Linked DNA regions of Coturnix japonica. The protein of the gene in region 1 interacts with the protein of each later gene in a pairwise test. Links are inferred from orthologs where the notes say so. Each region holds a gene or a part of one and is shown in the gene's direction. Other genes may lie near its edges.

Evidence for each region.
Region 2: the proteins of HMBOX1 (region 1) and ABITRAM interact in binary tests that used the Homo sapiens proteins (3 or more experiments, as listed by UniProt). The two-hybrid records come from large-scale screens. The link is inferred for Coturnix japonica from reciprocal best matches to the Homo sapiens genes HMBOX1 and ABITRAM.
Region 3: the proteins of HMBOX1 (region 1) and ASB7 interact in binary tests that used the Homo sapiens proteins (3 or more experiments, as listed by UniProt). The two-hybrid records come from large-scale screens. The link is inferred for Coturnix japonica from reciprocal best matches to the Homo sapiens genes HMBOX1 and ASB7.
Region 4: the proteins of HMBOX1 (region 1) and MFAP1 interact in binary tests that used the Homo sapiens proteins (3 or more experiments, as listed by UniProt). The two-hybrid records come from large-scale screens. The link is inferred for Coturnix japonica from reciprocal best matches to the Homo sapiens genes HMBOX1 and MFAP1.

Annotation. Positions count from the first base shown.
Region 1 is NC_029518.1:96,913,754-96,919,232, forward strand, and holds part of HMBOX1 (homeobox-containing protein 1), read left to right. Parts: intron 1-699; coding exon 700-795; intron 796-2,500; coding exon 2,501-2,595; intron 2,596-2,800; coding exon 2,801-2,932; intron 2,933-3,576; coding exon of another isoform or gene 3,577-3,621; exon of another isoform or gene 3,622-3,657; intron 3,658-5,479. UniProt on the Homo sapiens protein: Binds directly to 5'-TTAGGG-3' repeats in telomeric DNA. Associates with the telomerase complex at sites of active telomere processing and positively regulates telomere elongation.
Region 2 is NC_029517.1:79,741,180-79,747,301, reverse strand, and holds ABITRAM (protein Abitram), read left to right. Parts: upstream 1-2,800; 5' UTR 2,801-2,830; coding exon 2,831-2,888; intron 2,889-2,963; coding exon 2,964-3,015; intron 3,016-3,205; coding exon 3,206-3,335; intron 3,336-4,408; coding exon 4,409-4,485; intron 4,486-4,574; coding exon 4,575-4,644; intron 4,645-4,712; coding exon 4,713-4,847; 3' UTR 4,848-5,012; downstream 5,013-6,122. Other genes in the region: CTNNAL1 (alpha-catulin), read right to left, coding at 6,035-6,122. UniProt on the Homo sapiens protein: Actin-binding protein that regulates actin polymerization, filopodia dynamics and increases the branching of proximal dendrites of developing neurons.
Region 3 is NC_029525.1:15,696,958-15,703,081, forward strand, and holds the start of ASB7 (ankyrin repeat and SOCS box protein 7), read left to right. Parts: upstream 1-2,714; 5' UTR 2,715-2,903; intron 2,904-3,179; 5' UTR 3,180-3,261; intron 3,262-3,431; exon of another isoform or gene 3,432-3,534; intron 3,535-6,124. UniProt on the Homo sapiens protein: Probable substrate-recognition component of a SCF-like ECS (Elongin-Cullin-SOCS-box protein) E3 ubiquitin-protein ligase complex which mediates the ubiquitination and subsequent proteasomal degradation of target proteins.
Region 4 is NC_029525.1:18,262,210-18,268,399, forward strand, and holds the start of MFAP1 (microfibrillar-associated protein 1), read left to right. Parts: upstream 1-2,780; 5' UTR 2,781-2,887; coding exon 2,888-2,966; intron 2,967-3,203; coding exon 3,204-3,423; intron 3,424-3,635; coding exon 3,636-3,765; intron 3,766-4,079; coding exon 4,080-4,267; intron 4,268-4,635; coding exon 4,636-4,744; intron 4,745-4,817; coding exon 4,818-4,978; intron 4,979-5,220; coding exon 5,221-5,380; intron 5,381-5,711; coding exon 5,712-5,801; intron 5,802-5,959; coding exon 5,960-6,142; 3' UTR 6,143-6,190. UniProt on the Homo sapiens protein: Involved in pre-mRNA splicing as a component of the spliceosome.

The DNA of each region.
Region 1 (5,479 bases):
TCCATCATGTCCCTGCAATGCTGATTCCCCTGTCTTCCCTTCTTAGGCCAGTCATCAGGCAGAGGAGTTATTTGCTGTAGCTGGGTGGTTGTTATTAGGTTTATTTGTTTTGCTGGTTTAAGTGTAACACTCCAGTGGTCTGGTTTCCAACATCCCCAAAAGATAAGAAGTGTCCTGGCAGAATGGAAAGGCTGTGATGAGTGCTGTGGGAGTTCGATAGCTGCTGCTGGTGGAGAAAAAGGAAAGCAGACTGAGGAGGGACAAAATTCCTTCATTCATTTTGCTGCTACCAAAGAAAACACATCATTGAACTGCACCCTTGCTGCACATAGTAAGAGAGCTAGCCCAAGGGTATGGGATTTATGGCAGGGCTGTGAATTGAATTTGAGTTTTTGAATCTCAGTTTTGTGCTTGAACTAGAAAAGGAGCCCTCTATTCTCCCACGGCTCAGGATTTGGTTGATTGAAGCTGCAAAGAAATTCTTGTATTTCAGATTTTAAAAATAGAAGAAAGGCTACTTTGTTTTTAGGGAGATATTTGGCATTTATTACTATAGCATCTGGGCACGGTACTGGTTCACATAAAATTTTCTTCATTCTCAGTTCTAACAGCTTTTCAGTGCTGTTTATACTACAGGAGTTGTCACTTGTACAAGGTTAGTCTGCCTATCTTTTTCCCCCCTGCCCATTGTTTTCATAGGAAAAAAGTTATCAGATCTGGAGCGAGTTACCTCCCTTAAAGTGTACAACTGGTTTGCCAACAGAAGAAAGGAAATCAAGAGACGAGCCAATATCGGTAATGTATCAGAGAGCCTGCTTTCAAGGTTCAGTACATTGACTTGCTCAGGAGAGATAAAAATTACACAGGATCACATTACTGAATATACGGGAGGTTCTGATAATCTTAATTGAAATGTGGGGCAATTTTTAAAAGATTTGCTATTCCAGATTTTGTCTCAAATACGGGTAGGAGTTCAGTGTCTGGAATTCCATCATCGGTGCAGGAAAAATGAGGCAAAGTTTTACTGGGAGATGAGTTTTAAAAATCCAAACAAGAATTGAGTTTTCCGAGGGAGAATCGCATTCCCTGCACTCGGACTCACCTGGTCATTCCAGATAAAATCTGACATTAAACCTGAAAATGTCTGCATTGAAAATAAGGGAAATTGAGACTATTGCGAGTTCAGAACCTTAGTGTATTGATTAAGTGACAAGTGGCTGTAGTGAGGAGCTTTTATATGGCTGTAAGTTTCCTTGTGTCTGTGTTCCATTGAAATGCACTTCTTTTTAATACTGAAACCCAGGGTTGTCTTTTACTGCCATCCCTCAGACCACACTGGGATCTGAGAGACCAGATGAGTTGTTTTACCTCTCAGATTTGGCCACTGGGACCACAGGTTCCATAATCTAGCTTCTTATTCACATTACACCTGTGCTCCCTACTGCTTTCTATAGGGTTGCACAGCACTGGGTGTCTGGAGCAAGGTGATATTTTTCCTTGATCATCAGGATAAAACAACAACTAGCCCTGCAAGCCTTTTGTGCATGAATACCTCATCATAAGGAAATAAGAAGTGATGCTGAACTTATAAGAAATAGACCTTCTCGTATGGATAAATGCAAGACGTTCTGATGAGAGTAAACTCACCTTAGCAGCCAGGACCCAGCAAACTTCAGCCGTTTGGGCATAGTTTTATGCACAAGTCTAAGTACTGGTGCAGGACTGAGTTTGCAACATGTAGGCAAGACAAGGCCCATATCTGCATGTTTAATGGTATTTTTGCAAATGTTGGCAGTGTTATACAGTCTTGCTGCTTTTTCTCATATCTGTGAAGATGAACAAGTTATTTGTACAAAATGTAGCATGTTACTGAAGGTTAATCTACGTTTACTTTTCAAAAATGAAACCTGTCTGTCTTACGTCAGGGGGGAGGGGGAGAACAAAGCAAAGATAGTCCAAGGTGGGTGGTGTTATGGCTTTATGTGTACTGTATGTTATGTGTACTGTATGTTATGTGTACTGTATGGGGAGGAGGGTTGGAAGGAGATTAAAAAGAACTAAAGGGAGCTTTAGATGCATGGATCCTTCTGGAAGATGAAGATGTATTGTTTTTAAATCCCTTAAGTGCTTTTAAAAATTTCTCCATCTATTTTCAGACACTCCCCGCCCCCCTCAAGTCCTGCCAGTCCAAACTATGTGGGAAGATCTACAGGGAATGCCTTTGCCACTCCAGTGCATTAGAAATTAAGCTAATTTCTAATAGGACTGGCTGGAAAACAAGGATTCTTACTCGCAAACAAGTCTGTTAGTTGACAGGGAAGGATTTCAGGCAAACCAGTATCTGTTCATGTGCTACCTTCCCAAATACTGGAGAGTGAAGAGGAAGAGGCTAAGAACTAACTCTGTTCTTCCAGTTTTTCTAACTTCTTGAAAAAAATAGTTAACTTTTAATTACTCTAATGCATCAGATAAATTAGGGATCCATTTGCTTTTTTCGAAGAAGCAGCAATCCTGGAGAGCCATGGAATAGATGTACAGAGTCCGGGAGGTCATTCCAACAGCGACGACGTTGATGGCAATGACTACTCAGAGCAGGTGAGTGTCATGGCTGAGCCATGTGTACCCAAATGAGAGAGTTCAGTGACACATGCAGAGGCCCTCTGCCTCGCAAGTCAGATGTCTCTCGTTCTTGTTTTGCTTTGATGTAATTGTAAAGGGGAAAGTGGAAGAGCACAGCTCCCCTGTTTGAATGTGTTGAGCAACAAGCGTTCACCCACATGGATTTATTGTCATACAACAGGACACTTGGCAAGTACGCAATGGGGAGGAGGAGGGAAGATGTTCAGAGGGAGGCAGAGAAGCAGAGAAGGTAGAAGAAGACAGGAGGATCTGCTCCAAACAAGCAAGTTACACCATTCACGCCACACGCAATGTATGAAAAATGTTAGGAGAGTGTTACCCAGTGCACCGTGCATAACTTGAGCTTTCCTCAGCCCTGGCACTGTGCTAGTAATCCACCCTCAAGAAAGGATGTACAGGTCTTTAACAATTGCTCTGATATATCAGGCACCAACTTGCTTCCCCACAAAACTAGGCATGTGTGTCCCTCTCTCACCTTTTGTTTCTTTATGCAAGAAATGTCTCTGTGATAGCCTGTGGTACAGATGTTGTGAGTTGCTTATCTGGCACCCAGATGAGTACAGCAGTAAGCCCCCGCCCGGTACACTTTATCGTAATCCCTTTTGTCAGCCCTGCTCAGCAAGATGCTGAGCACCCTCCTGTGAGGTGCTGAGCTCCTTCTGCATATCCCTGGGAGCACTGTTCAGGGTGGCTCAGGATCACTCCCTAAGATGCTGACAGACAAAGGGAGAAGGGGTGGGGGGAGGATGTGATTAACTAAAGCTTGACATTTATTTGGCCCTGTACCTGCTTCTTATTGTTCTGCCACGGTGTGCCACTATTTGGGTTGTTTACATATTATCTTTTTTTTCTTTTTGCATTTTAACTCTTGCCTATTCTCTATTTTTCTTGATTATTTTTAACCCTTGACAGCAACTTCTTTTTTAAATTCTCCAGCAAAAGAATACCCCTTCCCGCACTCTGAGCCCTCACCTACCCTAAAGTTGGTGACCCTTCCTTCACACACCTTCCTGACAGGTATTGCATCCGCTTCCCAATTTTCCCTCAGGTGTCAGTGTTGGCCAAAACCCATCAGGGATGTGTGTGCTTGGCACCAGGGGACTTGTAGAACAGTTCATATGCTTGCTTCTGACTTTGGTATTAGCTCTGTTCCATTCTACACCCAACATCTGGGGTTGGCAGATCATTTTTAATTGACTTATTTAGGAGAAATAGTTATGTCTCCCTATCTAAAGGAGTGCTGTAGCAATGGAAAGCCCTGGAATGAGTCCCTAGCAGGCTTGGCTGTCGCCCAGTGTGACAGATCTCTGGCAGAGGGATTCCCAGTCACTTTGCTTCTGATGGACATTAAGGCCCCTTTTATAGGTCATCACCAGTAGATTTGGTGGAACCAGCTTTGCTAGCTCTAGATAACGAGGATCAGTTCTGTGACAGTTCTAGAATATTTTGAAACTCCTGTTGAGTGCAGTTAATTCCTTTTCAGTCAGATGCAAAAACTGAATACAAGAGTTAGCTAGACTCTCAAACTATATTTTTCTGGTGTGTTATCCAAAATGCTTTGAAAAGATGAATAAACTGGATAGAAAATGTAAAGATTTTTGTTTAGAGTCCTTAAAATCTGCATTTCTCAATAATCTGACTGGGCTTGTCCATGAAGTATAATTAGGCATTGTCAGTGAAGCAGAATAAATGGCAGGTTCTCCTGATGACCATTTGACATCCCTTAGTGGTTAAAACCATAAATTGTGCTTTCCACAATGACACTTAAACTTCACAGTTCATCCAAATACAAGTGAGATGACTAAGACTGCAAAACTCAGGTCTCTGCTTTGTGTTTCTTATCCCAGTAAACATTGCTGAGGTGGCATCACAACATTTGCTCTCTGTTTGTTGTAAATGAGTGCATTCCTTCAAATAACTCAGATTTTACCAAATCTTGCCTTTTTTGTCTCCCTCAGCATTTGTCACCCTCATCTTAATTTCCAGGTGCTTAAAGATACATACTAACATGAAAATTTTGCATGTTCATCACTTATCAGCTGATGAAGACTGATAATTATCATTTCTTTCCTGTAAAACTAATGGCAAAATCGTCATGTGGTCTCTATTAGTGCCAAGTTTTAAGGAGAGGAAAATGCCCTGATTTTGCCCAACATCTCAGCACAATTTGTTTGACAGCTGAGTTTTATTTGGATGTTGTTGTTTCTCATTCCTGTTATTTTAAACCAAGCCCTATTTCTAATGTAGACTAAGAAGCATGCACACTTCACCATAACATCACACTAGAATAGTCAAACATTTGATCTGACATTGTATGGCCATTATCTGCCTAAGAAGGTAACCCTTTTTTTCCTTGATTTTGTAAGTTTCACTGCAGTCCCGCAGCATTAGTTTCCCTTTATTAGTTTTGCCTGTCAAGCATCATAGCAATCAGCACAGCGGTCCTCCTACAGCTGAGAGACCTTGCTCTTTAGAAAATAAGCAAGTAGGAATATGTAGCACTTAGCTCAGCAGACTGGAGAACTCAGCAGAGGTTTGCCTGGATACTTGAATTATGGTAGTTCCAGTCCCATGAAATCACTGCACTATTTTCCTCAACCATCTAGAAGCTTTTCACCACCTTTTTCCCAGTACCTTTGTGAATTCAGTTTCTTCACATAGGACAGCGGCTCAGCCCAAAGGTCTGGGTGAGGTCAATACCACTGTTTCAGGAAGAGTATTTTTAAAGAATAGGGTAATTATAGAGTGATTTTATTATATTAGCGTCCAGCTTCTGGAAGGCAGGAGTCTTGAGAGACTTCCTGAGCCAGGCGGTGTATCCACTTTCTTTTTAATAGTT
Region 2 (6,122 bases), on another chromosome or scaffold:
CCAGAAGGGAGTCCTGCAGTTGGTGGTGCAGAGGAACCACACCGTGGTACAACAGCCATCTGCTATGATTTTGTAGCATCTCCTTGATCTGCCATTCTGTGCTACCTCTGCTCGCTGGTTCTCACAGCAGTCTTAGTCTCATGTTCCCAAGACTGAATTAGAAAAGTAATTTATTATCCCACCTGTTGCTTCCCTTTCTTCCCTGCTTATAAACTGTTAGCTCACTTGAACTTGCTCTGAAGAGAAAGTGACTTCAGTTTCTTTCAAACAATCTAAATTCTTATGGCACTTTTGCTCTTACCTGTGTTAGGACTGTTTCCAAGCTGTCATAGTTAAAGCTGTGCCTACAGCCCCACAGCCGATCTTTCTCTTTTCTTCGCTACCCCAAGTACTTGAATGTCATCATCTTTGACTCGTAGTACTGTAGTAGAGACTGTTCGGTCTCTGGCATGTGCACATCACAGCCACCTTCTTCAGAAAAACAAAACAAGTCCTAAAGAACACTCCCATCCCCTCATACCCTCATGTCAAAGCTGAAGCTTCCATGCCTTGACCAGTTGGTGGTGCCTTCTCTACTGACCTCTAACCCGAGTTGTCCCACTCAGTTCAGATCTTAGAACGTGGCCACTCTTCTTTGTCTGGAAGTCTCTTCTTAGCATTGCCAAATTGCAGTCAGATGTACCTGACTTTGGTTGTGCCCTGTTTAAGCAGGTCTCGCCTTTCCTGTGGTGATGGCACCAGTCGTTAGAGCTGATGTGCCCCAGTTCTGGCTGCTGCATTGCTTCTCATGAGCAAGATGTGTTCCCAGGCAGAACGCTTGGCAAGTCTTCTCTCCCCCTTCCCTCTGAGCCTCTCACAGCCCTGTTACATGCACAAACACTGGAATCTCCTGGTGGGTGCTGTAGGGTTTGGGGGCTCTATTGGTTGTCTTTTGCCTTCTGTCCCTCACCCTCAGCCATCAGAGAAACTGAATGCGCTCAGTGCCTTGGTTGTGAGCTATTTCAGACATGGGTGGCTCCTAACTCAGTTTGCTTTGAATTCTTGTGGTTTCTGTTGGCCTAAGGCCTTAATTGCTGAAGTCAGAAGATGACTTCTCTCATCTGTGTGATAGATGAGAGACAGGAAATGGGCACATGGCTGTATCCCCTATGAGATATTTAGATTGGTGACTAAATAAATCTACAGCTTCTGGTCTGTGCTTCCTGTCAGTTGCTGGCTGGCTTGCAATGAGAGAAACTGACATGAAAATATCTGCATATCAAAATACATTACTAATAGATCAACCTGACGAATAAAACTGCCTGCAGCATGTGTGGGAAGGAGGGTGAGATGAGCTGGCAGTGAGTACTTGGGTGGGCTGGGTGCTCCAGCACATTTGTCTTTGGTGGGCAAAGCACTACGTGAGGAAACCAAAGATGCTTCACAACGTGCTGTTGGTAGCAGCAAGGTGACAAAGCTGGCCCATGTTTTCATTGTCAGCCTTTAGTGGAAGCAAAGGTCCTACTTCTTAAAGGTACTTGCGGTGAAACTTCTCGTGCTTTGATAGAAGGATAGAGCAGAGCCTCTAAGCTGCCTTTTATTTTTATGCATTGATGTTTCTGAGCAGCTTGTGGTAATGTGCCTGCCTGCTGTGGCTGATAAAAGAGAGCACCTTTTTTTGTGTCCTTGTTAACTACAGTACAGAGCTGAGTGTTGAATGCAGCTGTATCCGCCTTATGTAGTGCTTGTGCTGACCCTAGGGCAAACAGAGCAAGGAAGGGTGGACTCTGATTTTCATCGTGCCACATTATTCTTAAGCTTTTGGCTTGTGTGTGTATATAACATCAGTCATGTGCTGTCCTTACTTGCAACAAGAGTTCTACTGCACAGATGCCAGTCCTTGCCTAAGTTCTTGACCTGCCTGGGTCAAGCAGCATGGCTGTTCTGTACTGATGGGAGATATTGTGCAAGAGCACAACGAACTGTATTTGTTTAAAAAGCATTCAAGGCTACAGGGTGTAAATCCAAGTAGCTGCTTCTGCTGCACGAATTCAGAGTCGAGCATAATTACAACTTCTGTGGAAAACTAGTTTGTTCTGGTTGCCACAAATAGAAACCATGTTTTCATGCCATGTGTTCTTACTTGAAATGTGATTTCGGTACGTTTAAACAATGGTTATAGCTGCCCTTGTATTGCTGTGTGCTTGATGGAATAAACCACTGAACAAAGAGCTGTTTCTTGTGTTTACTTGGAACCCCACAGCAGTTTGGGTTGGAAAGACCCACCCCGTGCCATGGGCAGGGCTGCCCCCCACCATCTCAGCTGCCCAGGGCCCCATCCAACCTGGCCTTGAGCACCTGTAGGGATGGGGCACCACAGCTTCTCTGGGCTGTGGTGCCTCACTGCCCTCTGGGGAAAGAATTTCCTCCTACCATCTACTCCAAATATCCCTTATTTCACAGCTATTCCCCCTTCTCCTGTCACTATCACACCACGTAGAAAGTCTATTTCCCTCCTGTTTATAAGCTCCCTTTAAGTAGCAGAAGGCTGCAATGATGTCTCCCCACAGCCTCTGCCCTGAACAAGCTCAGTTCCCTCAGCCTGCCTCCATTGCTTCAGCTCCCTGAGCAGAATCGCGCCCTCCTCCGAACCCGCTCCAGCCTTCTTTTGACGTGCTGGGGGCCTGGACTCAGTACTGCAGACGGGCCCTCACAGCCTCAGCTTTTTCTTCCACTTAGGAAAGAGCTTTTAATTACGCGCGATGGCGCCGTGCCTCTACCACAGGGCGCCGCTCCACAGCCCGGTAGGCAGCGCGGGGCGGGGCCGCGCGTGCGCCTTGCGAGGGGCAACATGGCGGCGTGCGAGGCGTTGGGCGCGGCGCGGTACTTCACGCGCTGGTACAAGGCAGGTGCGGCGCGGCCGGGAGGGCGGGATGGAGCGTGTCCGGGGAGTCACCCTTACCCGTGTTTGTGGGCTCTCGCAGACGTGAAGGGGCGGCCGTGCGAGGATTTCTGCGTGCTGCAGCACTCCAACAGGCGAGTTGGCGGGCGGGGACCCGGCGCCCTCTGGTGGCATCGTGCTCCCCGCCTTCCCCCCCCTCAGCTCTGTGTATCGAACGGCGGTGTGAGGGGGGTGGGGGCGATGCCCGCAGCTGAAGCCTGGTTGTAGGTATTAAAACTCTACTGCACCGCTGCGGCACGGTGACTGTCGTTCTTGTTGTTGCAGGATCTGTGTCATCACGTTGGCAGAAGCCCACCCTCTTCTTCAGCATGGGAAAACAATCACAAGTATTAATTACCAAATCAGTCCCAACTGTAGCAGGCTTCAGAATAAGGTCTCTGGGAAGTCCAAAAGGGTACGTAATGTGTATAGCATGCAGAGGGACTTAAACATCCCTTAATAGATCCCTTAACTTGTTTTCAACCAAATGCTAAGGATTTGAGACTTTTTTTTCTAATCACAGACCCCTGGTCTGTGACAGGATGGGGGGAAATGGCCTCAAGTTGCACCAGAGTAAGTTTAAGTTGGATATCAGGAAACACTTCTTTACAGAAAGGGTTGTTAAGCACTGGAATAGGCTCCCCAGGGAGGTGGTTGAGCCACTATCCCTGGATGAGTTTAAAACCATTTGGATGTGGTACTCATGGACATGACTTAGTAGAGGGTTGTTAGGGTACTTTGGTTGGGTTGTGGTTGGACTTGATGATCTTGAAGGTCTTTTCCAACCTGAGCATTTCTATGATTCTATGTAAGTAAGTATAACCGTGGAACCCATAGTCACAGAATCACAGAATCACAGAATGACCTGGGTTGGAAGGGACCTCAAGGATCATGTAGTTCCAACCCCCCTGCCCAGCAGGGCCACCAAACATACACATTTACTAGATCAGGTTGCCCAGAGCCCCGTCCAACCTGGTCTTAAACACCTCCAAGGACGGGGCATCCACAACCTCCCTGGGCAGCCTGTTCCAGGACCTAACCACTCTCCTAGTAAAGAACTTCCCCCTAACATCCAACCTAAATCTTCCCTCTTTTAACTTAAAACCATTTCCCCGTGTCCTGCTATTGTCAGCCCTTTTGAAGAGTTTACTCCCCTCCTGGGTGTAAGTTCCCTTCAGGTACTGAAAGGCTGCAATGAGGTCACCCCGCAACATTCTCTTCTCCAGGCTGAACAAACCCAACTCCCTCAGCCTGTCCTCATAGGGGAGGTGCTCCAGCCCCCTGATCATCTTCGTGGCCCTCCTCTGGACCCTTTCCAAAATCTCCATATGTTTTTTGTACTGAGGGCTCCACACCTGGAGCTGTAGCTATCACACCTCCTTGCTTTGTTCTGTAACAGCTTGTGATGTTGCTGATGTTTATGAAACTATAAGAAGAGCCGTAATTAACTGTAATTAAGAACATGTATGTATTTTTTTCCCCATTCAGGGAGCTCAGTTTTTAACAGAACTTGCCCCGCTCTGCAGGATCGCTTCATCAGATGGAGAAGAATATACCATTTACAGGTAGGGAATACACCGTTTACAGGTAAAGATTTGCACACCCCCACCCTGACACACTGTGCACTTATTACTGAGTTTGAACACTTCTGCAGTTGCATACGAGGGCGACTGATAGAAGTGAATGAAAACATTCTTAGCAACCCAGCACTTCTGCAAGAAAAGGTGAGAAGCTTTTTAGCTTTTAGCCTTTATTTTACTACTTCAGTGCTAACATTGTTCCTCCATTGTAGCCGTCAACCGAGGGATACATAGCAGTGGTTCTACCCAAATTCGAAGAGAGCAAGAGCGTAACTCAGGGGCTCCTGACACCAGAAGAATACAAGGAGGTTTTATCGAAACGTCAGAATTCTTCTTCAGGAAGTTAATGATACAGGCAGCAGCTATGTTTGATGCTAAATAAGCTGCTTGTACCCAGCAGCTTTCATTGCATTGAAAGGGCTGCATTTATAAAAGTGGAACTTCACGTATTTGTTTTATTCTTGTATGAAATGGGGAAAAATAGTTTGTATATTAAAATCTGTTTTCTCTCAGTCGTAGTACGACATGTTTTTACATACGCACAGATTGATTTTGGAGAGTGGTTGTGTTCCAGGGACCTCTTTGCTCTTGGCTCAACGCAAACATAATACACAGAGAAAAAGCACAATTGAGCTGTCGGGTAATTTAGCCAAACTAATACAACGTGGGGTTTGACAGCAGTGAATTGAAAACAAAATGCAATAGGAGCCTGCCTATGATGAACAGATAACCTTGAAAGCAAGCATTTCACATCAGGTTACGTTTCCTAGCACCCTGAAGTCAAATAATGCCCTTTTTACAGACGTTTCTCATAATCAGTATTTACTTCAATGTTAAATGCTGTAAAGTCTACATGTAATACTTCAGTGGTTCTACATGCAATTCAAATCCTGCTCAGTACAGTTTAATCATAAAGGAAGCAACAACTGCCATCTACAGACAGAGACAGTGAAGGAGAAAGGCTTTGAGTCAAAAGTGTTAATCGCTTAGAAGTACACTTTGGAAATAGGAATAATGCCAACCAAACTAAGATTCAGCGCCAAGCTCTCGCAAGAGTGTTTTTTCTTAGGACTGAACTTCATTGTAGGTATAACTAACCTTAATTTCAGTGCTTTAGGCCACAGTGTTTCAGTCTACATTCCTGAATGGGCTTTATAAATCCATAGACTGAAATGGGCCAGAGAGGAGTTTACAAACGTCAGCAGTAGTGTTACATAGAGCACAGGGTTCTTTGTGTGAAGGGTCTGTTAGCAGCATCTTTGGGTTGAAACATCCATTAAGACATTCGTAAGCATGAATTACAAAACCAGTATCAATAGGGAGCGTAGGAAATTCACATTATGAAAATACATAATGATTACACTAGTTGGTGCTGTCATCGTTAAGTAACAGGACATCTATTAGATGTGACAAAGGTCAACAGGTTTAATTCAAATTAACCTGGGTTGACTTTCCACAAATGAAAGCAAAACTGAGAAACTTCAGCAAGTGTTATTTTCCCTAATGGAGCTTCTGCAATTTCTAAGTGCTGTAATTACTTGCTCTCTAAAAATGTCATTTTAGCCACGTGATTTTCCAAAGACTTGATACCAAACATCTCCACTCTTCTTTCTGGTGCGTGT
Region 3 (6,124 bases), on another chromosome or scaffold:
TTCCAAATGGGAATTTTCATCTGAACTGGCAGTGTTTATTTCTCCACTCAGGCGAACAGGACAATCTCATTCTAGTTAAAACAAACAAATAAAAAAGGATCAGTCTATGTGCAACAAAACATAGGACTTAAGGTGAAAGTGTGAATATTCAGGAGAGAACCGGGCTAATTCAGCAAGGAGGACCAAGGAATTAATTTATCATTCTGGCCGTGCAAACCTATTACTCTGAGCACATAAATCTTGTAATCCAAAAGTTTTTTCATATAATACAAAGGGTTAACTATGCCTTTAAGCTTGGTCTCAAGGGTCCAATGGCTGGGAAGTTCAAAATAAAAATTTACTTGAGGTGTAAAAGACCCTTAAAAGCATTTAAATATTCAGAAAAAGATTGAAAAGCTTTATCACAAAACCAATGGAATGTTTCTTTCAATTGCTGGAACATTCAGAGCAGTTTTACAAGAAAACCTATTAATTCCAACCTTTTCTTAAAGTGTGAACAGCTAAGCACCCCAGAATTTTCAGTCATTATGCAAATAGATAAACGGGTGTCAGATCTCTCCAGAGAACAGATTTACTCATGATCACAAGGGTTTCTTTTTCATCAGTGGTTCTACTCTATACAGTTTTAACATATTATCTAACCACTGCCCTTTAATTAAAAGAAACTCATTACCTTTTATCTACTGTGAATTTAGGAATGGGATTTATTTTCTTTATGGGAATTTTCTTGTATGCTTTTGGGATCCCCCTCTCTTCAAATCTGGCATAGCCAAGGTATGTTCCTGCAGCCAGCTGTTTCAAGCTGTTGGTTAAACATTAAGTTTCCCATCTCTTAACAAGGGAAGAAAACAGTTCAGTCTCTTAATAACGACTAGCTATTCCATTTCTGTTTGTAATCATTATTCCAGTCATCATCACACCAAAGACATTTAACATTATTGCTTTCTAGGAGAAAATTAACAAACTTTGAGGCTACAAGGGTTTATTAAGCTTATAATCTTCTCACACTTTTAAAACTATCAAGCATTGAGAATTATACTTTCATTTTTATAATATGTTTTGGTTTTTATAAACTATAACTGAAGCATGCATTGACAGAATGGCTTCCCAAAGCCATTAAATAGAGGGGGTAGACCAAGACCTGCTACCCAGGTTGGGGGTAGACCAAGACCTGCTGCCTGTTGCCACAACTGAGCAGTATTTCCCTTGGTGTAGATTTAAGAGAACCTAAAATTAGAAAATAAGCACTTTCCTCTAGGGAATAATCTACAGTTCCCTCTGCTGGGGTATTTTGGATGGCAATGGCTGATCCGGCAACTTCAAAATGTACCTCACCTCATCCATAGCAGACCAAAGAACCCTTTCCCACATTCCATGTGTTAGAGATTAGATCTGATACTTAAAATTCCCTCTTCATTTGAAGAATCTATTTGTGATTCTACTTGAGGTGGAAATTTATGGCCTGAAACCTCATAAAATTTCTTCACAAATCATTCGGAATATTTTTATGTAGCCATTGTTTCTGTCTTTGAGTTTTATTTCTTCCTACAAGAACATCTAGTAATGTAAAATTATCTCAACGCGTTTGCTCCTATGTTCAAAACCAACCTGAGCTGTCGTGCACCAATTCATCCAACACAGCAGGGCTGTAAGAGCACAAGAGATTTAGAACTCCTCCACGTGGTATTGGTTGTGCTTTCCCTGATCCCACCATTGCACGTTTGATTTACAGCATTAATTTGCAGAGCACTTTGCCAAGAGGACAGGTAAGGCACGCCATGCTCACACCAAACAGCATCTCATGAGGGGGAGTCATTAAAAGAGATAATACGAGGGGCTTATTTTGAAGAGGTTTAACTTCAAAGAGGGGGAAGGTGTCAGACAGACTCGGTTTGGCTCAGTCATAGTAAGAAGGCACAAAGCTCAAAGAGGAAAGAAAAGTGACTGTATCTGCACAAAAGAAATGACAACCCCAGCTCTTGCTTGTGTTATTCATGACAGCATCGAAAAACCAATTAAGATAAGGCCCCAAGTGTCAGATTCCTGCGTAAAGAATAGGAAACAGTTCTGAAGCCCTTATATTGGAGGTGAATTAAAGAGAGAAGGGCTGTACAGAGTAATATAAAACCAAACTAACACGTTTTCTTGTATATTATATTCGCCATCGCTTGAATTCGACCTTAAAAGACATAAACCCACGTGGAGCTGCAAACACAGAAATGAGAGATGGAAACAGGATGAGGAAAGAAATAACGGACCTGAAACGGCACCTGAGCCCGTCAGCTTTAAGGGCCGTGTACCAGCAGTGACCCAACTCTTCTACTCTTCGCAGCATCTTTGGCCTGTACCCGGGCCCAGCCCCTCTCAGGGTCCATCCCACCTTCCCCATGAGCCCCCCAGGCCCCACCCCCCCGTTCCTAGGGGTTACCAGGCCCATCCCGCCCCGTTCCTACTCAACTGCTGCCAGGCGACCGCGGCGCCTCACCCGCCCCTTGTACCGGTCGCGGGGAGGCCCAATCCTCCTCCGTTCCATCCCCGGATCCGCCTCAACCTCCCCCCGCCGCTGTCGCAAAACGCTCTGTCTTCACTTTACGGCAAAGGTTGGGCCAAGAGCAGCGGGCGGAGCTGCCGTCAGCCTACTGACCAATCAAAAACTCCGGCGGCGAGAGGTTGGGGGCGGGACCAAAATGGAGACCTTTGATTGGCTGTTGGGGAGGTCAGTCCCTGCCCGCTGACCCCGCAACGAGCCGCGGGGGGCGGCTGGGTGCAAAGTGTCCCCGCACGGTGCGGCCCCTTAACGCGGCCGGCACGGCCCGGCCCCGCCGCCGGCACCCGGTCACTCAGTCAGTCAGTGCAGCCGGCACTCAGTCAGTCAGCGCAGCACGGAGCCCACCGGCTCGCAGGTAACGGCCCCCGGCCGCCCCTCGCTTTCCTCCCGGTGCCGCGACCCCGTGGCCTCCTGTCCCTTCCTCAGCGCTCACCTCAGCCCCGGGGCTGCGCTGACAGGGTGGGAGGGCTCGGCCTCGGTGCTTCATACTGAGCCCCTCTGTGAGGTGAACTAACCCTTCCTGACCCATCCGTGAGGGCTTTTCCTGCTTCTTCCTGCTGTTCCTTTAGTATTATGCTTAGCTTCTGTGTTATATCGTGGCTCAGTTCTACTTTTGTGTGTTTTTTTTCAGGTTTAAGCTGCCTTCAAAGCAGGACTGCAAAGAATGGAATGAGGCTGAAGAGAGAAAGCAACGCTCACGAGAGCCCAACAAGGTGATAATCTGCGTCGAATTATCCTTGCTGCAGTAGAATTCTCCTTGCTGCATGGTTTGCCTGTGGTCCTCAGTGTGGTGGGTTCCATGGGCATTATTGGGTCTCTTTGTTCTCTCAGAACCTTCGGGCTTCTGAGCGTTGGTTTTAGAAGCTCTGGAGTCCAGTTGGAGGGTCCTTTCCTCCTTGTTACGGTTTGTTGTCTGAATCTGATCTGTACACGTGATTCTGATCACAAATTACTCCTTAAAGTGTGTTGGTGTGTCTTCAGCTCAGGTATGTCGTAGAATCGTAACGTGGTTGGATTGGAAGGGACCTTGAAGATTGTGTAGCCCCACCCCCTGCTGTGGGTTCGTTGCCCCCCACCATCTTGGGCTGCCCCATCCACCTTGGCCTTGGACACCTCTATGGGATGGGAAGTGTCATTTAACATGACCTCACTCAGGGCAATGGTGAGCGTCCCTTCAGCCTTCCCTCCCATTGACATGACTTGTTCCTGCTCTGGTTCTGCAGATGTTGCTGCAGTAGGTCATAGTGATTAGGTTTTGTTGGTTTTAGTTGCACCAAACTTCTGTGTGGGTCAGGGTTTTTGTATTATAACCGAGCTGCAAAAATTCCAGTGGATTTAATTGGATGGTGTTTGTTTACAAGTACTTTGTGGGTTGAGATGACAGAATAAGATAATGCTGTTGGATGCTTAAGGGGAAAAAAATGAAAGGAGTCATCAGAAACTGAGTCCTGCTGTGAGAGGAGGATGGTGTGGTTTCAGAGCAAGAGCAGCTCGTAGGGAGGATTCCTGTTATATATGTGGCTGGGAGGTAAAGAGATGAGCTTTGGAAGGAAAGAGAATGGGGGGTGGTTAACGTCAGTCAGCATTATTCTGCATCCCACTGTTATGTGCTCCAAGTAATGGCACTCATGCCTGTTCTAATGCAAAGACTGCACTGATTCTATTGTAATCCATTTCAAAGGTAGATGAGTTTGTGTTATTTTGGCAAATGTATCCTCAATATGGGTCCTACTGGTCTTTGTCTTGTTTTCAGAGATGTCACTGACTGCACCAGAATGGTTTTTGTTGTCAGAAATGAATTCCTTCTAGTGTTAGTTGCAGTGGAAAATGCAGTACCTGTTGCTGTGGTCAAGGGTGGATCTTTATTCTGATGTATCTTCAGCGTATGGTGGAAATGTTGTTTTCACTGTTGTGCTGTAAAGATGAAGTGGAAAATTCCCCCGTAACACAAGGACAACAAATTCTGTGGTATATACTTTAAAAGCAGAGCGAAGAAATAGTCTGTGCTGTTTTGATAGCATACCACAAAGCCAGTTGTATGATGCTGGAACATGCAGACAGGCCCACTGTGATTGCAGGAGTGGCTTCTGTGCTGTTAGATAAGACAAGTGCATTAATGCTGACTTTTCAGTGCAGCCATGGTGCACCTGTTTCGTACAATGTTGGTTTGTTGTAACAACCTCTTTGTAACCCCTCTGTCACATCTAACATCAGACCTTGCATCATTGTAGCTACTCAAAGAGTGCAACATCTTGGTGCTCCTAAGCCACTAGGTCTTTTGAGAAATGTGTTTGTGAGTTGCTAGGCTCCTTCCTGATGTGAGATGCCAATGCAATGAAGTTTGATCCAGATGCAGAGGCTGGAACTGGGTTCACAGGCACTGGGGCATGAGCTTCTGCCAGCAATGTTCATGTGATCCAAACAAGAAAGAGAGACAAATGATGTGCTGTAGCCTTCCTCTCGGGCTCTGGAAGGAACACAGCATGTTGCAAGTAGAGCTACCCCCTTAGATTAAGTTGCATATCCAGTGTTTTTCTTATTTTTAGCTTCAGGTTACATACTCACTGTTTTTGTTTTTCCCAATTGTGAATTCTAAACCCTTAAAGCAAATGTGTGGAGTGAGAGGCTGTTTTCTGTTCCAGCATTTGCTTGCAGAATGGCATTATTGTAGTGAAGCACCATTGCTTTATCTGCTCAAGTCATCCAATTAGTTCTGTCCAGTTTGGTTCTTCTAGGCCCTATTAAAAAAAAATCAGAGCAAATACACATTTTGCAGAGGCTGTTAAATAAAATGAGCACCATAAGCAGCGCTCTTTTTGCTCATCAGTTGTATCATGAGTAGTAGGACTGAAACAATTGTTGTAGTGAGGTTTAAACTAGTTTGTAGGGTTTTTTTCCTGCTTCTGTCATTCAGTGGAAAGTTGGTGTTTGGATACTTGAGTGATAGCAAGTAATATTAAAATGGGTGAATCTTACACCTTAACACTTGCTCTGAATTACTGCTTACTTTTAAGGTTAAGTTTTCTCTATATTTATACTGTTTGAAGCTTGCTAACGGTAAGTCAGCAGTGGGGCTGCCTTTTATGCTTGATCTCAAAGCGTGCTGCAGGCTCCCTGCAGGTGCTCTGTGCAGGCTGGGAAAGGAGCATTGCAGCTGTATGAACTGATGCAACGTTCTCACCTGCAAAAGATCAGTAAGGCCTTCCTTCAGCACTAACAATGAGATTATTAGATCTATGGCGTTTTCTTCACAAGGTCCCACTTGTGGATAAGTTTACCAGTGTACAGATGAGGATTTTGGGGATGGTTTGAGCTGATTTGTTAACAGTGGGTAGTGAAGATGATGTCTTAGCTGTTGCTGTCCTGTTTGCAGACCTGCAGTTACTTGAGCTGGGCAGTTTCCCTAGCTCTCCATCAGGCCCAAAAGTCAGACCTCACATCTCACCATTACATGGGTAACAGTTGGTAAAATGATACCTACAAACTTCAGTTTTGGTCACCTGCAGAATGTAACAGCACAACAGCTGCTTGTTAGTCTATAATGGCAGCATGATTGGTACTACACACACCTGAAGC
Region 4 (6,190 bases), on another chromosome or scaffold:
GTTTTGCTTCAGGGCCGTGCTGAGGAGCCCGGCTGCAGCCCGTGGGGATGAAACCACGCACGTGGGCCTCGTGACACACCAGAGTGCAGCCAACAAAGGCCTCTTGTCCCACCGCTTATCTCAGCGCTCCGGGGCAGGGGAGCGGGAAGTACCTCTGTGTTGCACAAGCTGTTGGCGTTGGATGCGCACGGCCGCTCCTCCTGCCAAAAATAACACCACGCACCTGGAGGGCCGGCACCTGTGGGAGCACAAACCCTCCTTGTGAGCGTTCCCCTGTTTCAATGGCCTGGATTTGGAGGCCTCAGCACGTCCCAGGCTGTGCCAGCAGCGTGTGGCACAGCAACGTATGCCCCACAATGTCCCAGGCCACACAGCGTCCCATGCCCCCCCCCCATGGAACTACACACAGCAATCAATAGAAACCCACTTTCGTGGAAAATAAGGTCAATGTTTGGCTTTGTGGTTACAGGTTACACAACCGCCAGCTGTGCGATGGCTGCTGGCACTTTGCAGAAGGCAGCACTGCGCCAGGCACCCCCACCTGGGGGTGGGCTCAGAGACACCACTGCGCTGGGAGGAAGCGGGCAGCAGGGCAGGGAGATGGGGTAGGAAGGTCTGCGCGCACACAGAGCTGAGAAAGCCAAAGTGAAGGTAGCGGTGGCAGACGGGACAGCGGCTCAGCCCGGCGGTGCTCACTGAGCGGCCTCAGGGGGAGTGCGGGGAGCCTGGGCTGCCGCGGGGGCTGCGCTGCACGTGGCTGCGGTGGGATGGGAGGCTCTGCCCGCCCCGCACTCCCAGACACAACATCGGGCCGGGGATCCGGCGCTGACCTTGCCCCGCGGTGCAGCCTGCAGACAAACAGCAGCGGCACAACGTGTCTCTGTAACTTTATCTGCCTTCTGCCTTTGTCATCAATTGCCACGAGGCTGCTGAAGTATCACAGCTGCCATCTCCAGCCCCCATCTGCTCTGCAGCCACCCAGGGGAAAGGAAGCCCACCCGATCTGAGTGCGCTGCATGGGTTCTGAGCACACTTTGATTGCAGGACAGGCAGCAGAGCCCACACACTGCCCCCAAAGCCCCCTCACCACGTGCTCTAGCAGGCTGGGGGCATTCTCAGCTGTATCAGCCTGCGTCCCCTGCCCCAGACAGCCCAAACACCGCCTCTGCCACTCCCAGCCCCTCACTCCTGCTGCAGCCGTGTGCGGCTCCGTGGGACACAGGGCAGAGAAGCACACCAAAGGGTCAGGGCTGCTTCTTGTCACCGCATCAAACCCCTGAGGCACAGCATCGAAGCCAGCCAGGAAGCATTTTCCTGTTTGCTGAGGTCTTGAGTTTAGCTTCACCTGATCAGGACACGATGTGCTTTGTGTGCAATTCCTAAGCTTTCCTGTAACCATTGTGCCTAATTGTTTCACTCACTGAGTCATACATTGAAGCTCGCTCCTTGCCATGGTGACACGGGAACCATTAGGTAGGAACACGCTGTGATAACCACACAAAATTGATATCTCAGCTGATGACTGGGAGCGGAGCAGGAGCTGGGCACAGAGCTCTAATTGTCATCGGGACATCAAGGCCAGGAACACCAGGAAGGACTTGCCTACCCCCAAGCACTGCTGCTGCAGGAGCACAAAGCCACCAGTGCCCGAGGCAGCGGGACAACTGCAGCACTGGGGTCTGGCTGCACGCACAGCAGAATCACAGGGACCCTGGAGCGGCCAAAAGCTCTGCCTGGGCCTGCTCAGTGGCAGCTCTTCTCCTGCCACAGCACCAGCAGGGTCAGGCTTACCCAGGAGCTGTTGTGCCCAGGGGACCCACCCTGCCAGCACAAGGGAATGCTGAGGTCAGTCCCCAGGAGCAGGTCTCACTGCCTGGCACCCCCGTGCTGATTTCCCGGAAGATAAAACCTCTTCCCTTCTTTTGGGGAGGCACCGCAGCGCTGCAGACGCGGTTGTGGTGGCTGGTGACCCAGTTTTTCCTGGCTTCAAGAGAAATCTTATCTCCTGTGGTTGGCTGCTACCGCGTGGGCAGCTGCTACGAGTTGGCGCTGGGCTGCTTTCCTGCGAAACCCAACTGGTGTGTGAAGGGCTCTGACGTGAGCAGCAACAGCTGGGGCAGGAAACCTGCCCGCTTCCATGTAGGGGCTGCTCCTGCGGGTAATTCCCTCTGCCCTGGGCCGGTGCTGCGGGAAAGTCCTGGCAGCCAGAGGGCGGGGGACAGCCCGGGGAGAGCCCTGCAGAGCGATGGTAACCGGTAAATTCAGCACCGAGGTACGCCGCGCATTCAGCACGATGGTAACCCGGGCATTCCAAGCACCGATGGGCAACCCGTTTCAGCACCGTGGTAACCCGTATTCAGCACCGATGTAACCCGGTATTCAGCACCGATGGTAACCCGGTATTCAGCACCGATGGTAACCCGGTATTCAGCACCGACACTGAGCGCAGCCTCCAGCCGCAGCCACACGAGCAGCAGGGGCAGGACTCGGCAGCCGGCCCCGGGAATCCCGGGCAGGGACCCGGCGCGGGCCGGGGCTACGTGCGGCCGGCTCCGCAGCACGTCACCACTCCCGAGCCCCGAAGCGATGAGCGGAGAGATCACAGCGGGGCCGATCTGAGCCCTGAGGGGAACCGAGCCCTGAGGGGAACCGCCGCTGCACCGCGACCGGACCGGGCCGAAACCAGCTCCACATCCGGCCACAGGAGCCGGAAATGACCTCCACGCTGAGCGTCACTTCCGGCGGCTTGCGACGGTTCGGCGCGCGTTCACTTCCGGTACGCCGGCGGAAGCGGGAGTTGCAGTTCCGGGTGAGCGGTCGGTCTGTCGGTCTGTCGGTCGGTCGGTGCTGTGAGCGGCTGCGGTTCGTCCCGTCCCGTCCCGCCGCCATGTCGGCCCCCAGCGCTCTCGTGAAGCAGCCGCCCATCCAGTCCACGGCGGGCGCCGTGCCCGTCCGCAATGAGAAGGGTGAGTGCGGGGCGCCGGGAGGGGCGGGGGGCGCGGGCACGGCGGCGGCGTGAATGTTCATGGCATGAATGCACATGGCTGCCCATGGCGCCCTGCTCATGGCCCGGCTGCCCATGGCTGCCCATGGCTGCTCACGGCTGTTCATGGCCCGGCTGCCCATGGCGCCCTGCTCATGGCCCGGCTGCTCATGGCTTCCCGCTGCTGTTCCTCCCGCTGCTGTTCCCCCCCCTCCCGCAGGCGAGCTGTCTATGGAGAAGGTGAAGGTGAAGCGGTACGTGTCGGGGAAGCGGCCCGACTACGCGCCCATGGAATCCTCGGAGGAGGAGGACGAGGAGTTCCAGTTCATCAAGAAGGCGAAGGAGCAGGAGGTGGAGCCCGAGGAGCAGGAGGAGGAGGTCGCCAACGACCCGCGGCTGCGGCGGCTGCAGAACCGCATCACTGAGGACGTGGAGGAGCGGTGAGTGCTCGGCTCCGGGCTCTGCTCCCTCCTCGTGCTCCCCCCCAGCTTTGTGTTTCCGGGCTCCTGAGCACGCAGGGGATGCCTCTTTCCTTCACACGCTTCGTGGTCCCGGGTCTGACTACGGTCTCATTAGAAACAGATCGCAAAGATTTCTCTTCTTTAGTCTCCTTGTGTTCAGAGCTTCGTAGTCGAGTGGACATTTGTTGCAGGCTGGCAAGACACCGCAAAATTGTGGAGCCTGAAGTGGTCGGAGAGAGTGATTCTGAGGTAGAAGGTGAAGCGTGGCGTGTGGAGAGAGAGGACACCAGTGAAGAGGAAGAGGAAGAGATCGATGATGAGGTTCGTTATATTGCTGAGCAGATGTGGCCTGGGAAAGTCCCCTTAGGCCCTGTCTGGAATTCGTGCTTGCAGACACACGTGAACTGTGGTGAGACTGGGTGGATGTTGGGACCTGAGTTAAAGCCAGCTGTGGTGTGACCACAGCCTGTGGGTTATGGGGCACCAGGGAGGTCACCTGCGTTCTGAGGTGTGGGCTTATATAAGCAGTCAACATCATATCATATAAGCTCAACATCATGCTTTTTATATGGAAAAAGGAAGGAAGCGATAGTGGGGCTGGTTGGCTGAGTCTGTGTTTGATGTGTCTCCATTAGGAGATCGAGCGTCGGCGTGGGATGATGCGTCAGAGAGCGCAGGAGAGAAAAACTGAGGAGCTGGAAGTGATGGAGCTGGAAGATGAGGGCAGATCTGGAGAAGAGTCTGAGTCAGAGTCTGAGTACGAGGAGTACACAGACAGCGAGGATGAAATGGAGCCACGTCTCAAACCTGTCTTCATCCGCAAGTAGGTGATAAGGTGATACAGCTGCATGGGCCAAGCACTGCATCAGGGATGGGCAGTGACTGACCTGGTAGGGCATGGCTGGGTACTTCCAACTGGGGACTTTAGGCAGGTACAGCACAACAGAAACCAGGTAGTGTGCTCCAACATGTTCCACAGCCAGTAGCAGGGTCTCCCATCACCTTTGTGCATGTCTGCAGATGTGAGGAGACTGAGTATGGTCGCTCTTGAATGAGCAAAATCAGAAAGGAGAGAGCCTTGGGACTTGGCCCTGCCGTGGGGGGCATAAAGACTAAAAGAGGCTGCAGTGGGAGCAGAGGTCTGCAGTGGCATGTTGAAAGGCTGAAGGCTTTTGTGGTCCCTGCTCACAGGAAGGACCGGATCACAGTTCAGGAGCGAGAAGCAGAAGCCTTGAAGCAGAAGGAGCTAGAACAGGAGGCAAAGAGATTAGCAGAAGAGAGGCGCAAGTACACACTCAAGGTACAGCGGGGCAGACTGGGGCATGCATGTTGGGGCAGCCATTGCAGTGAGCTGAGCTTGGTCTTGGCTTCAGATCGTGGAAGAGGAGGCAAAGAAGGAGCTGGAAGAGAATAAGCGCTCGTTGGCAGCACTTGATGCTCTCGATACAGACGATGAGAATGATGAGGAGGAGTACGAGGCTTGGAAAGTACGTGAGCTGAAGCGCATCAAACGGGATCGTGAAGAACGAGAAGCGTAAGTACTGTCTGCTTAAGGCAGGGGAGGGTCCCTGCAGTCCCAGGCCCTGCAGGACAGCGGGCAGTTGAGGCGTCTCTTTCTCAGTCTTTGTTTTGGCAGCATCAGGAATTTTCTTGAGGTGCTTTACTCCATTATGGAGTCAGTCAACGTATTCGTCAGAAAGTCCCGGGTGGCAGCAGCTGTCCCATCTTGGGAGGGCACTGAGGGATGCAGGGGCTCAGGGTTTCTCTTTTGCCCAGCATGGAGAAAGAGAAGGCAGAGATCGAGCGGATGAGGAACCTGACAGAGGAGGAGCGCCGTGCCGAGCTGCGAGCCAACGGCAAAGTCATCACCAACAAGGCAGTGAAGGGCAAATACAAGTTCCTGCAGAAGTACTACCACCGTGGCGCCTTCTTCATGGTGAGTTCTGCTGCCAGGCCTGGGGCTGCGTGGACCACGTGGCTGTTTTGGGGGAGTTTTCCCTAGTGGTACCCAAGTAAGGGCTGGCCAAGCACACAGGACCAGAGCTGGCCCTCAACAGCAGCGTGCTGCTGAAGTGACTGAGGGGATCTGAGGTGCCTGTCAGGTCTGGCAGGCAGGGTGAGTAAAGACACGAATGCAGTTCGTCAGGGACTTGCTGCATGGAGCAGCAGTCCCAGGACAGCTGGTTCTCGGTAGCTCTTCTCCACTTGTCTTCTACTGACACTTGCTGGAAACTTGCAAGTCAAGCAGGTGTGTCCTTCCTCCGCAGGACGAAGATGAGGAGGTGTACAAGCGGGACTTCAGTGCCCCTACCCTCGAGGACCACTTCAACAAAACTATCCTGCCCAAAGTCATGCAGGTGGGTGTGTGGCAGGTCTGTGCGCTGCCCCAGCTCCACCAGTGCTGCTCAGCTGGGGCTCGTGGGATCGGTGGGATCTCACGAGGGAAGGAGCAGTGACATGATAGGGTCCCCACATCGTACACCAACTGATGCTCACAATCTTTCCTGCCTCCCAGGTCAAGAACTTTGGGCGCTCAGGACGGACAAAGTACACGCACTTGGTAGACCAGGATACCACCTCGTTTGACTCTGCCTGGGGCCAAGAAAGTGCACAGAACACTAAATTCTTCAAGCAGAAAGCAGCAGGCGTGAGGGATGTCTTCGAGAGACCCTCGGCCAAGAAGCGGAAGACCACTTAAGGGAGCAGACAGGAGGGCGTCCTGTGGCTGACTGGGCAGAGAGGCACT